Saccharomyces cerevisiae S288C: one gene and its partner. The protein of the gene in region 1 interacts with the protein of each later gene in a pairwise test. Each region holds a gene or a part of one and is shown in the gene's direction. Other genes may lie near its edges. The genes, in order: SGV1 and BUR2.

Evidence for each region.
Region 2: the proteins of SGV1 (region 1) and BUR2 interact in binary tests that used the Saccharomyces cerevisiae proteins (3 or more experiments, as listed by UniProt).

What each region holds. Positions count from the first base shown.
Region 1 is NC_001148.4:862,656-870,267, reverse strand, and holds SGV1 (cyclin-dependent serine/threonine protein kinase SGV1), read left to right. Parts: upstream 1-3,845; coding exon 3,846-5,819; downstream 5,820-7,612. Other genes in the region: TIF3 (Tif3p), read left to right, coding at 313-1,623; ORC4 (origin recognition complex subunit 4), read left to right, coding at 1,964-3,553; GPH1 (glycogen phosphorylase), read right to left, coding at 6,254-7,612. UniProt on the Saccharomyces cerevisiae protein: Serine/threonine-protein kinase component of the BUR kinase complex involved in transcription regulation.
Region 2 is NC_001144.5:586,219-592,939, forward strand, and holds BUR2 (Bur2p), read left to right. Parts: upstream 1-3,135; coding exon 3,136-4,323; downstream 4,324-6,721. Other genes in the region: UCC1 (Ucc1p), read left to right, coding at 246-1,355; YLR225C (uncharacterized protein), read right to left, coding at 1,477-2,700; ADY4 (Ady4p), read right to left, coding at 4,344-5,825. UniProt on the Saccharomyces cerevisiae protein: Component of the BUR kinase complex involved in transcription regulation.

The sequences.
Region 1 (7,612 bases):
CAGGATAATAGGGTACTGAAATCTATGTTGCTTTTTATATCCTGGCGCTACTTAGCCGCCCAACCTTTTTGTCTTCTTGTCTTTTTTTCTTTTTGGCTTTATTTCTCATCAGATCACGCACCACGGAATGAAAATTTTTTTGCGGAAATCAGCATCGCTAAAGAAAAGCAGAAATAGAAGCAGAAGAGATAGATATAACTACAGAGTTAGAGAAGATCAGTAGACCAATAAGCGGGATTATCATAAAACTCGAGTTTATATTAGCTTTCATCTGTCTTTAGGAAAATAATACCATAATAAAAAGGACACATCATGGCTCCACCAAAGAAAACCGTAAAGAAGATGGACCTTACGTCATTTTTAAATGATGACACCTTTGGTTCATCTTGGGCTGAAGAAGATGTCGATTTGAATAAGATCACAATTCCTATTGAAACCGCTAATGCAAACACTATTCCATTGTCCGAATTGGCTCATGCTAAAAACAACAGCAATAACACGCGTTCAGGCGGCTTTGGTGGCAGTTTTGGAGGTAGATCTAGATTAGACCCTGCTTTGGGGGGCGGTTCTTCCGATAGAAGAGAGGAATACCCTGTTCCAGATGCTCCACCATATAGGGCTGTCATAAACAACATTCCATGGGATATTACCCCAGAGGGTGTTCAAGCCTGGGTTGAAGATGGTTTAGTTAAGCCTGAAGCGGTTGAAGAAGTTGTTTTGCCAAAGAATCTAAGAGACCCAACAAGATTAAAGGGTAATGCTTTCGTTACTTTGAAAGAAAGAGCAGATTTGGTCGCCGTTCTGAAGTTCAACGGTACTAAATTGAATGAGAGAACTGTTTACGTTTCTGTTGCGGCTCCAAGAAGAGGGGGAGGTGCAGATGTTGATTGGAGTAGTGCTAGAGGCTCCAATTTCCAAGGTGATGGAAGAGAAGATGCACCAGATCTTGATTGGGGTGCCGCTAGAGGTTCTAACTTCAGAGGTCCAAGAAGAGAAAGAGAAGAAGTTGATATTGACTGGACTGCTGCAAGAGGTTCCAATTTCCAAGGCTCTTCCAGACCACCAAGAAGAGAAAGAGAAGAAGTTGATATCGACTGGAGCGCTGCAAGAGGCTCCAATTTCCAAGGCTCTTCCAGACCACCAAGAAGAGAAAGAGAAGAGCCAGATATTGACTGGAGTGCAGCTAGAGGCTCTAACTTTCAAAGCTCCTCGAGGCCACCAAGAAGAGAAAGAGAAGAGCCAGATATTGACTGGAGTGCAGCCAGAGGTTCCAACTTCCAAAGCTCCTCAAGACCACCAAGAAGAGAAAGAGAAAAGGAAGAACCAGCTTTGGATTGGGGTGCTGCCAGAGGTGCTCAGTTTGGTAAGCCTCAACAAACCAAAAATACCTACAAGGATAGGTCTCTAACTAACAAAAAGACTACTGATGAGCAACCAAAAATCCAGAAGTCTGTTTATGATGTTTTACGTACTGAAGATGATGATGAAGATGAAGAGGCTGAAAAGCAAAATGGAGACGCAAAAGAAAACAAAGTTGATGCGGCAGTTGAAAAGCTACAGGATAAAACTGCTCAATTGACTGTTGAAGATGGTGACAATTGGGAAGTTGTTGGTAAGAAATAGAGTGTTGTATGATGATAAAATGTACATTTGTATTTACTGTTTGCTTTTTTTCTTTCTTGTTTTTCTACTCTCCTTTCTACCAGGTATTCTAACTCTATTATATAATTAAAAAAAAAATAACCATATATTTTGTATTAAGTTTCATACATGTGTTCAAGTGTATTTTTGGATTTATCATTTTTCTATGTGAGGTAAGTTTTTGAATGTCCCATTTTCCTTTCGTTTTTGGAAAGTTCTAAGAAAAAGCATTAACAATTAAAAAAAAAAAAAAAATCTAAATAATACTGATAGAAATATCAAATATAAACTACTAATATCGGTAATATTCAAAAGAAGAAGCATGACTATAAGCGAAGCTCGTCTATCACCGCAAGTCAATCTTCTCCCAATAAAGAGGCACTCAAACGAAGAGGTAGAGGAGACTGCAGCGATTCTAAAAAAGCGTACTATAGATAATGAAAAGTGTAAAGACAGCGACCCTGGTTTTGGTTCCCTTCAAAGAAGGTTACTGCAGCAACTTTATGGCACACTTCCTACGGACGAAAAGATAATCTTCACATATTTACAAGATTGTCAACAAGAGATCGATAGAATCATTAAACAATCCATTATTCAGAAAGAGAGTCATTCAGTAATTCTCGTGGGGCCCAGACAAAGTTACAAAACATACTTATTAGACTATGAACTGTCTTTGTTGCAACAATCTTATAAAGAGCAGTTTATAACTATCAGGTTGAATGGGTTTATTCACTCCGAACAAACAGCTATTAACGGTATAGCAACTCAATTGGAACAGCAGTTGCAGAAAATTCATGGCAGTGAAGAAAAAATTGACGATACTTCATTAGAGACTATTAGCAGTGGTTCTTTGACAGAAGTGTTTGAGAAAATTCTTTTACTCTTAGATTCGACCACGAAGACAAGAAATGAAGATAGTGGTGAGGTTGACAGAGAGAGTATAACAAAGATAACAGTTGTTTTTATATTCGATGAAATTGATACATTTGCTGGGCCTGTGAGGCAAACTTTATTATACAATCTTTTTGACATGGTAGAACATTCTCGGGTACCTGTTTGCATTTTTGGCTGCACAACGAAATTAAATATCTTGGAATATTTAGAAAAGAGGGTAAAGAGTAGATTTTCTCAAAGAGTGATTTATATGCCGCAAATACAGAATCTAGACGATATGGTTGACGCCGTCAGAAATTTACTTACAGTTCGCTCTGAAATCTCCCCCTGGGTTTCACAATGGAATGAAACGTTGGAAAAAGAACTATCCGACCCTCGATCGAATTTGAATAGACATATTAGGATGAATTTCGAAACCTTTAGGTCATTACCTACATTGAAAAATAGCATAATTCCATTAGTAGCGACATCCAAAAATTTTGGTTCACTCTGCACTGCCATAAAATCGTGTTCTTTTCTTGACATATACAATAAGAACCAACTATCTAATAATTTAACAGGAAGGCTCCAATCTTTATCCGATTTAGAGTTAGCCATTTTGATCTCAGCCGCTAGGGTTGCCTTAAGGGCGAAAGACGGATCTTTTAATTTTAATTTAGCTTATGCAGAGTATGAAAAGATGATTAAAGCTATCAACTCCAGAATTCCCACCGTGGCTCCTACTACAAATGTGGGAACAGGTCAAAGTACTTTTTCTATCGACAATACTATCAAACTATGGTTGAAAAAGGACGTCAAGAACGTTTGGGAAAATTTAGTGCAACTGGATTTTTTTACCGAGAAATCAGCCGTTGGTTTGAGAGATAATGCGACCGCAGCATTTTACGCTAGCAATTATCAATTTCAGGGCACCATGATCCCGTTTGACTTGAGAAGTTACCAGATGCAGATCATTCTTCAGGAATTAAGAAGAATTATCCCCAAATCTAATATGTACTACTCCTGGACACAACTGTGAATCTTGGGAACAATATACAGACATTTTATTGGCGGTAGCAACTCTGATATTCCACTGTTCAGCTTTCCTAATAAGTAAGTTCAAGATTATGTGGTCATCGCGTCGAACGGAAATACACCCATACACCAAACCTCTGTGAATTTGAAAAATTCACATATGCATTTAATAGAGCATAGGCAATGTAGAGAGAGAAATTAACAATGGTGAAAAGAAATATTACCAAACACCAGCAAAAGAAATTGTATAGTATTAGCAGTACATTCGTGGTCAAGCAGAATAACAGTAAAATAATATGAGTGATAATGGTTCCCCCGCGGTTCTTCCAAAAACCGAATTTAATAAATACAAAATCGGCAAAGTGAAGAGTACACCAGCCATCCAGCGAGATGCGAAGACTAACTTAACATACATCAAACTAAGAAAAAGAAGTAGTGAGAAAGTTTACGGGTGTACAGTTTTCCAGAATCATTATCGTGAGGATGAAAAATTAGGACAAGGAACATTTGGTGAGGTTTATAAGGGAATTCATTTAGAGACTCAAAGACAAGTGGCAATGAAAAAAATTATAGTTAGCGTTGAAAAAGATCTGTTTCCTATAACTGCACAACGAGAAATTACTATTTTAAAGCGTTTAAACCACAAAAATATTATTAAACTAATCGAAATGGTGTATGACCATTCACCGGATATTACAAATGCGGCATCCAGCAACCTACATAAGTCATTCTACATGATCCTGCCGTATATGGTAGCAGATCTGTCGGGCGTTTTGCATAATCCGAGAATCAACTTAGAGATGTGCGATATAAAGAATATGATGCTACAAATATTAGAAGGCCTAAATTATATTCATTGTGCAAAATTCATGCATAGGGATATAAAGACAGCAAATATTTTGATTGACCACAACGGTGTTTTAAAGCTTGCTGATTTTGGTTTAGCAAGATTATATTATGGCTGTCCTCCAAACTTAAAGTATCCTGGTGGTGCAGGTTCCGGCGCCAAATATACATCAGTAGTCGTAACGAGATGGTATAGAGCACCTGAGTTGGTGCTTGGTGATAAACAGTATACAACAGCTGTTGATATATGGGGTGTCGGATGCGTTTTCGCAGAATTTTTTGAGAAAAAACCTATTTTACAGGGAAAAACGGATATTGATCAGGGACATGTTATTTTCAAACTACTTGGTACACCGACAGAAGAAGATTGGGCCGTGGCTAGATATTTGCCAGGTGCTGAACTAACAACAACTAATTACAAGCCAACGTTGAGGGAAAGATTTGGTAAATATCTAAGTGAAACAGGTCTAGATTTTTTAGGACAGTTGTTAGCGTTAGATCCTTACAAGAGGTTGACCGCTATGTCTGCTAAACACCATCCTTGGTTTAAAGAGGACCCTTTACCATCAGAGAAGATAACATTACCGACGGAAGAAAGTCATGAAGCTGATATTAAGAGGTACAAGGAAGAAATGCACCAATCATTGTCCCAAAGAGTACCTACTGCGCCAAGAGGTCATATAGTTGAAAAGGGTGAATCACCTGTCGTGAAAAATCTTGGGGCGATCCCAAGAGGCCCCAAGAAAGATGACGCAAGTTTTTTGCCTCCATCAAAGAACGTATTGGCTAAGCCGCCTCCTTCGAAAATAAGAGAACTACATCAAAATCCTAGACCGTATCATGTGAACAGCGGATATGCTAAAACTGCGATTCCACCGCCAGCAGCCCCTGCAGGAGTTAATAGATACGGACCCAACAATAGTTCCAGAAATAATCGCTTCAGCGGCAACAGCACTGCACCCAACAACAGCAGGAATCCCGTAAATCGATTTCATCCTGAGACAAATGTCAGCTCTAAATATAATAAAGTACCTTTGCCATTGGGGCCTCAGTCAAGATACCAGGGTAATTCAAATGAGTCCCGGTACAAAAACTCGCCAAATGACTCTAGATATCATAACCCTAGGTACGTGAACAAGCCGGAAACCAACTTCAATAGGCAACCACAGAAATATAGTCGCCAAGAATCCAATGCGCCAATCAATAAAAATTATAATCCTTCAAACGGTTCTCGCAATATGGCTGGTGATCATCATCAAGGCTCGAGACCTTCTCATCCACAATTCCCAATCTCGCCCTCACAGGGGCAGCATCAGCTTACGAGTAAACCAATAGAGAAAAAAAATGGAAGCTTTAAGGATGAAAGAGCGAAACCAGATGAGTCTAAGGAGTTCCAAAATAGTGATATTGCAGATCTATATTAGGTTATACTATTCTCTCTTCCTTTCTGGCCTCGTGGCTAATTACGGAAAGTTGTATACTGACTACTATGTAATCTATCACGTTTTGTCACTGTCTCGCTCTTTTCAAACAATCCATAAAATCGAAACTATTGTCAAAACGTCAGTACATCCTACCTGATAGGGACTGTACCAATGTCAACGTTCGAGTAAGTGATAATAAGGACCGCCTTACCCACCTTCAGGACACTCGGTTTTACACAAGCGTTATCCTGCGCGGATTTTCAATATGAAAACAACTAAGTTTTCCTGTAACATCATATATACCATTTAAAAGAGTGCCAAAAAACCGATAACGATTATTTTAAAGGCGTTTTATATAAGAGAAGAAGTAAAGAGAAAAAAGCGCTTACTAGAAATGGGGAGAAGGGTGCCAAAGAGATAAAAAAAACTCCCAGCTAAGTCACTGGTTCAACGTTCCAAATGGTATCGGAGTATTCCTCGATACAACGATCACTGCTAAAGAAGCCGACGTTTGCAACGCTCAGGACACTCTTTTTTAACCATTCTGACCTTTGATTGTGGAACTCCTGGTCCACTAATTCATGGGTGGCCAGATAGGATTCAAAGTCATCACTGACCAGGTAATAATCGCCGTGGTACTTAATACTGTCGACTAAAGGTTTGAATTCATTTGGATTTTCTGGAGAAAATTGTCCACTTTCAATGTAGGATAAAACAGAATCCAAACTAGATGGTAAATCTTGTGGATGGTATTGATGGTTGTATCTCAATTCTTCGACATTTTCACTTAGGTTACCAAACAAGAAGACATTATCTTCACCAATTTCCCTTGTGATTTCCACATTGGCACCATCAACAGTACCAATAATCAAACCACCGTTCATAACAAACTTCATATTAGAAGTACCAGACGCTTCAGTACCAGCAGTAGAAATATGCTCACTCAAGTCACTTGCTGGAATAATGATTTCAGCCTTAGAAACATTATAATCAGCAACAAAGACAACCTTCAACAAATGCTCAATTGACTCGTCGTTATTAACAATGTCAGCAACACAGTTGATCAATTTTATGATCAGCTTAGCCATGTAGTAACCAGGAGCACTCTTACCACCAAAGATTGAAACCTTGCGTGGATATTTCTTGGCAACTTCTTCGATCGAAGCACCGTTCTTCAGCATATTCTTCATTGCCAGGTAACGGTATATAATACCAAAGACGTTTAGCTGTTGACGCTTATATTCATGAATACGTTTAACTTGCATATCAAACAAGGTGTCGTCCAAATACTCTCTGTTAATGATGTCTACTCCATCATTTTCCTTTTTGATTAAATCTACTAATCTGATCTTATTATTAAGCTTGACTTGGTTCCATTTTTTCAAAAACTCCTTATCTTCAACATATTTTCCCAACTGGGTCAGTTTGGCCATGTCCAACAAATACTCCTCTGTTGGATCGTTAAGGGTTTCACTGATCAGTTTAGCCAATGAAGGGTTAGCTTGCTTCAACCATCTCCTTGGTGTGATACCGTTAGTGACATTGACAAACTTTGATGGACCATAGAACTTGACAAAATCTTTAAATATGGTCGTTTTGATTAATTCAGAGTGCAATTCAGCAACACCATTAACCTTGTGTGAACCAACAATAGCCAAAAAGGCCATTCTGATCTGTCTTTCTGGAGAGTTTTCTTCGATGATGGATATACGAGACAAAAGATCAACATCCTTGGGGAATTTTTTGGCCACATCTTGCAAGAAGAACCAGTTGATATCATATATAATTTCCAA
Region 2 (6,721 bases), on another chromosome or scaffold:
AATAACTGAAAATTTCCTTTTTCTTTTTTTTGCTCTTCAAAGTCTCTGCCCCTCTATTGCGTACTCGATTGATTTTTTTATCAAAGGCCATCTCAGACAAGTAGATCTACATTGGAGTTTCTCATAATATTATCACTATCGGAAGGTAGCATAACCTTTAATAGAGTTTCCGCTGTTTGCTTGGCTCGTTTTTTTGTTTGTACTATGCCTATTGGCGCAAAGAAGACAGAGTGTGCAAACAAGAGATGAATCAGAGCGATAGCAGCTTGATGGATTTACCACTGGAGATACATTTATCATTACTAGAGTACGTGCCTAATGAACTTCGTGCTGTCAATAAATACTTCTACGTTTTGCATAACCACAGCTATAAGGAGAAGAGTTTGGCGTGGATAGCTGAGGACAACTATATATGGGCCGTTGTCAAACATTCATTATGTTTATATGTCAAGAGTTTGGACCCACTTCGACAGCATGCCAGAGAAATCATTCAAGAAACGAAGGAACCAGGTTTTAATGTGCCACTGTGCATGACTAAATACATCGCAGATTCTTGGTATATTGTATACAATGCGCTGCAATATCCTGGAAAGATAATTAATATGGGATGGGACAAATATACCAAAAGTCAAGATTCAAATGGTTCTGATTCTACCAGTAACTTTAATAGTCGGCCCAAGGAAAGAACTCTTATGCAGTCGTTGACAGCTTTACCTGTTAACTTTTGGTCCAGGAGGAAGGACGAGCCTACACCGGTAAACGTTTGGTTTTATGTAAAAAATGCGCACGTTGCCAGATACATACCGAAAATTATTACGGAAATAGGCATATGCAACTATGGGCCGAAGCAGATCGTGGCAAGTGCAGGATATATCAACGAATTGATAACATCTGAAGGAATATACTGTGTTAACCTAGGCCACCTTCCCAGGCTATACGATGAGCAAATTTTTGAAGGCACTGGAACGACACATCTTCCCCTGGAACTGAAAGCTATCGACAGGACAGATTCAGATGTTTGTATCAATGGTGATTTAGTTCTACTCGGTTATGACTTTATTCCATATCAGATATCGAAGCCGTGGTTACTCTTTAGAATCGAACCCGTAAATAGCATTGAAGCAATCTTCAACTATAGTGAATGTTCTTTTTCATACCAGTTTGCATGGAGTTTGGCCTGCTTACAATCTGAAGAGAAAATTTCATTTCCTAGAGACACGATAATTGGGCACGGTTTACCTTACAAGCCATCCAAATTGATAAGAATTTTCGTCTACAAGCATCCGGAACAAAAGCAAGATCTTGGTCAAGAAATAGCATTGCCCAACTGGAATACCCCTTATCTTCGAAGATGAAAAAAAAATTTATCAATTAGTCTATAATATATGTGTATATACGTCTATGCACCTACCTACTTATAAATGGATATAATATTCTTGCAATGATGAAAATATGTATAGTCAAATTTCATTTTTTTCAATTGATAAATGTACTTTCAATGATGGAAACTCCTTCATCGTCATCGAATTTAGACTTCTGGCAGAATTGGTAAATGAATGGCTTCATGTTTGCCAGATTTTCAGCAATAGACCTAATGAAAGCGGGCAGCTCACTCATTATATCGTACCTATTGACTAATCTTAAATTAGATTCTTCAAAACCACGCGGAAATGAAATGGATGTAGGATATTTCCAACCATTTTGCTTATCCTCTTTTGTAGATGGAAATTTAACAGCATGATCATTTACACTTGACCCGACCTCCAAAATTTTGTCCTTATCACTAACCGCCCATATAGTCACTGTAGTGCTGCCATATTCTTTTGTTGTGGTGAATTCAATACACATCATCGAACGCTTCTCACCATTGAAACAAAGAAAATTCCATTTACTAGCCGCCTTATTGGGTATTAGCCCCTGGACAGCATCCAGATACAACATAGGCGTGTCCTTCAAGTCCAGCTTCACAGGTTTATCGTTTTTCTTGTATGAGATGGTACCATTGCAAAAACCTCTAGGAACAAAAACATGTCTTATCATTTTTCTGGACGTACTAGAAGAGTCTCTTTTTGCTAACTCTTCCAAGCTGATGCTCTTGTCAAGGTAATAATTGGAACCGTCCGGGTTTATTATGAATCCTTCTTGTAAATTTACGGTAATGTCAACCTTCAAATCTTTTAGTAAACAGCTTGTACTTCCCTTCGGAATATCTATCTTAATTAATAATTGAGCAAATCCACTGGAGGAAGAATTTTCCAAAGGTACGAAGTGAAACGTAACATTGTCCGATTCAACTTTTAACGTATCAAAATCTTTGATATTATCAATTTTAAAGCTTTCCCATATATCAATGTCTTCTTCAGAGTTTTCCTCACTGCTGGCTTTAAATATTTTGAAATTTAACTGAAAACCTTTGTATATACCGCCCATAACACTGGAATATAATAGTTGAATTAATCCACATTTGCCGTTGGTGAGATCCGTAAAATACAGAGTTTGTGTCTCTATTCTTGTTTCCGTTGGATTTCTTACTGCTTTTAATAAACTATGTGACTTGAACTTTTTGTGATTTGACGTCCTGCAAAACCATTCTAGTTTCGATGTATCCTGAAATTTAGTATAATTAGCATGATCCTTCTCGGATAAAACTTCCTTAACGGGGGCAAATTTCGTCTTCTCCTTTTTGATCGCAACCGCCATTTTTTCTTTGCTCTATGATTTTTATGTTAATTAAACTGTTCGTTGCCCTAAAATTTTGAAAATTTCTCGAATATTTAGAGAGAATCCGTCACTATTTTAGTATCTATCTTGTCTATTTATATATAAAATCTCATTCCCCTGTTATGGTTTTTGCCAAGCCCTATCCCAAAAAACCAAATGATACATGATAAACCTATTTATCCTCTTTAACAGACCTATCGTTTAAAGCTTTTTTATTGCAAACCCTATTCATTATGGCTTTTTGACCTAGGTCTCATTGTGACTTCTATTTTTCACTGTTCAGTAAAAAAAGAAAAGTGATTAAAAAGTATCACTATTTCTGTTAGAAAGCAAGTAGCTATTTTGATTGGTAATTATATACACATATTGAAGGAGGCCGTAGTATTTTCGTTTAAAATATATTACAGTAAGATAATGTCTGCTACATCTTCAAGTGGTGACGTGAAAAAATTTCAAGCTGTACCAAAACCAACGAGCAATGCATCACCACCACCAGCATCGAGTGGGTTTAACGCAAGGACCCTATGGCCGGATTTGATAGAAACACCAGAAAACCAGTGGGTTTTTGAGTGCAAAGATATTATTGAAAAGATAGGCACTAATGGACCGATAGCAGTGGAAATAAAAAAAAATATGGAAAAATGCTTAATGTACTTTTACACACTTAAAAAAAAATTAAATCTTTTTGATCACACCTATACGGCATCATGCATTCTATTTTACAGGTATTGGTTCATATATGGAATACCTACAGCCATAACTGAATGTATTCATATATCACAGGGAATTCTGGTCACCGCTTGCAAAACAATGGAGAATAATAGGCCTATAGAGGCCTATATTAAGGCGACTTGTGAGTTTTTGATGCAAAATATACCGTCTTTAAAAAGTCGAACAAATATTGATAAACTTAAATGGGAATTTAGAGATAAGTTAGTGACGAATGAAAAAAAAATACTATGTTTATTTGGCTTTGACTTAAATATCAGTAATCCAAAAGAATTGATTGAAGAAGTGTTCAGTGGCTATTATAGATTCAACAGGGATCACAATCTGCCAGAAAACTTTAAAAAAGCTTTTCCAAAAATTCTTCAAGAATCAAGAAATTTTATGGTCCAAGCTGTCACCCAGCCAGTTTCTTTATTGTGCGACGGTTATACGTTCATTGTACTATCTCTCATATACTGTGGTTTAGAGTATAAAAAGCTTGTAGACAAAGATTTCAGATATCCGAAAAACTTCTTCAAGGATAGATTCCCTATCGAAGTAACGCCGGAAAATTTTGCCAATATCTTTACCGATTACAAGTTACTGGAAGAGAATTTTTTCAACTTAAAAAGTAATAAAGGTGCTAAATTACAAATTGATTCAAGCATGATTGATTCGGTGATTGACGAAAGTGGCGATGTGGAAAATGAAGTTTCAGAAATCTCTGATCCGTTTAACTACGAGTTGATTAAATCCGGTGAGGTGAAGGAAGAGTTTTTGAATCATATTGAAACAAGGGTTAAAGATTTACTAGATAAGGCTAAACAAGAAAGTATGAAGAGAAAGGCTAAAGATCCTATAAGAACCCCAGATGCCAAAAAACCTAAAATATAAAAATAGAGTACAAGTTATGTTTAATTGGAGGGATCAGTAAAGGTTTGATATATACGTGACAAAATGTCCGGCAAGTTCCCTATGTTATCCTGATAGCAATATTTCCAATACTCAATCCAATGATCATCTGTTTCTGGATCTTTAGGTGAGTCAAAGCGCAGTTTCTGCTTCAATTTTGTTTTCATCTTGTCTATTATTATTCTGGGATGTCTGAATTGGTAAGTTCGGGGATGATAATCGTCCAGAGATTCTGAACAGTCATTATCTTCGGATATTTTTTCAGCAACAAGTAATTTCCCCTCCATAGCAGTCAACAGTACCTTAGGTAGTTGGTAGTCAGTTACTTCATCAGGATTGTCACAAGCATCAATAATATTTTCGATGATACATAAGCATTCTATGGTCAATTTATCCATTTCAGATGATGCTTCGAATGTGTATTCATTATCTTGCATATAGTATAGTTTTAATACATAAAAAAACTGGATAACTTTAAATTGAACACCTGATGAAAGTAATAAGCCTTCCAGAATTTTATTCAAGCAGCATATAATCTGAGGGTCATTTTTAAGTTTGAAAGTTATTGACAGAATATTTTTTTGAATTGTTTCATTCATGTGGTTACTATCTACTAATAGTCCGATTCTGGGACCGAACACATCACATTCACACTCCCAAATTTTTCCTCTCAGAATGGCTAACATTTCTTCGATTTCTGCACAATACTGAAAAAACTGACTAAAAACAAAATTTTCATTGACCTTTGAAAATTTAAGCGTTATCTTATCCATCGCATCGAAAGCGACGCAGTATAACGCCTCAATAACATCTACCTCGTCGAGTGACCAGTGCCATTGAAGTGACTTGGTCTCCTCATTTAAATCGAAGCCATGGGAATAATTAGGGTTTTGTCTTTTGATAAAATTTTTTAGATTATTGCCTACCAATGCTTCATTTTCTTTCAAATCAATTAGAAAACAGTGGCAACACAACATGGATATAAATAGTTCGCAAAGTTCATAAAAAGCTCCAATTTGCTCGTCTGCGATACTTGCAAATAGTCTTGTCCTTTTTGAGTACGCAATGAATTGTAAGCACCAGCGAAAAGATTGAAATGCGAGGTTATAATTTTTATCTACATGACCAAATACTCCTTGAAATAATTTTATATATAGTACCAGTTTTAATTTATTCATTGTCTCTGGATCGGCTTTATCTTTCTTCATTATCTTGATGATATGTTTTGGACCCATCGCAAGATTAAAGTTTAAAATTTTGGCCAGCGCTTCTTTCAGAAGGTTATTGGTTTGAATCCTTAATGGTGAACCTTTTTTCATGATCGAAAGATTATAAAAAACTACATGGTACGGAATATAAAGAGCCAAAAAGTCCCTTATCAAATCACCATTATATGCTTGTAAATTTAGGATAGTCTTCACAGCTTTTTTAAATTCTTTTCTTAAACTTTTTTTAAAAGTTTGATAGTCGACGTCTTTATTCATTATACGTGAGCCGACAATTTGTGACTATGATCAATAAATAGGGCATATATGTACAATTTTGTTTGTATTTCCTCCTGTTGGAGATGAGTAGTAACATAATCATGGGTAAATCGTCTTCTCTGTGACAGCGCAAACCTTTACGCCCAATAAAAATTTGACAGAAAAATTCTCTATAGTGCCGGGGCACTTCATTCAAATTTAGTAAATAGAACTTTTGTGGCAATGGACAGGTTCAGCTACTGCATTTCATATGCGAATTCGCTGCTATACCAGTTTTGTGGCCCCAAAATCACCCGGCAGACAGGGTCTGGTAACACGTCATAATTCTTTCCCTACTTACGAACGTAAAGGAAGCTTTGCCAACTTTTAGAGAAATGGCTACATTAATTATGAACTGGAGTGAAACAACTGTGCTAAAATGATACGATCTAGTAATTTATAGGAAAAAGTAAAGATGGCAAAAAACAAAAAATAATGAGAGCTAAGGGATTCGAACCCTTGCATCCGAAGATATCAGAGATTTTAGAGGTTAAACCCACCTAAATCTGACGCCTTAAACCACTCGGCCAAACTCCCATTGTATGTTGAAAACGATGGATTATACAAGCCATTGGGTTAGCCATTTATTTCTAAAGTCTTTTTCTTGGCTGATTACTTATTAATGAGAAATTGGTAAAGTTTGACATAATTGTTGGGATTCCATTGTTGATTAAGGCTATAATATTATGTATAAGAATAAACTAGAAGTTCTCCTCGAGGATATAGAAACTCTCAAATGGAATCGATATTTCTACACAATAATATTACGATTATTTCTCCTTCCGTTTTATATTTTTCATTATCTTATTACATTATCAATCCTTCCATTTCAGCTTCCTTTAACTTCGGTTGCATCT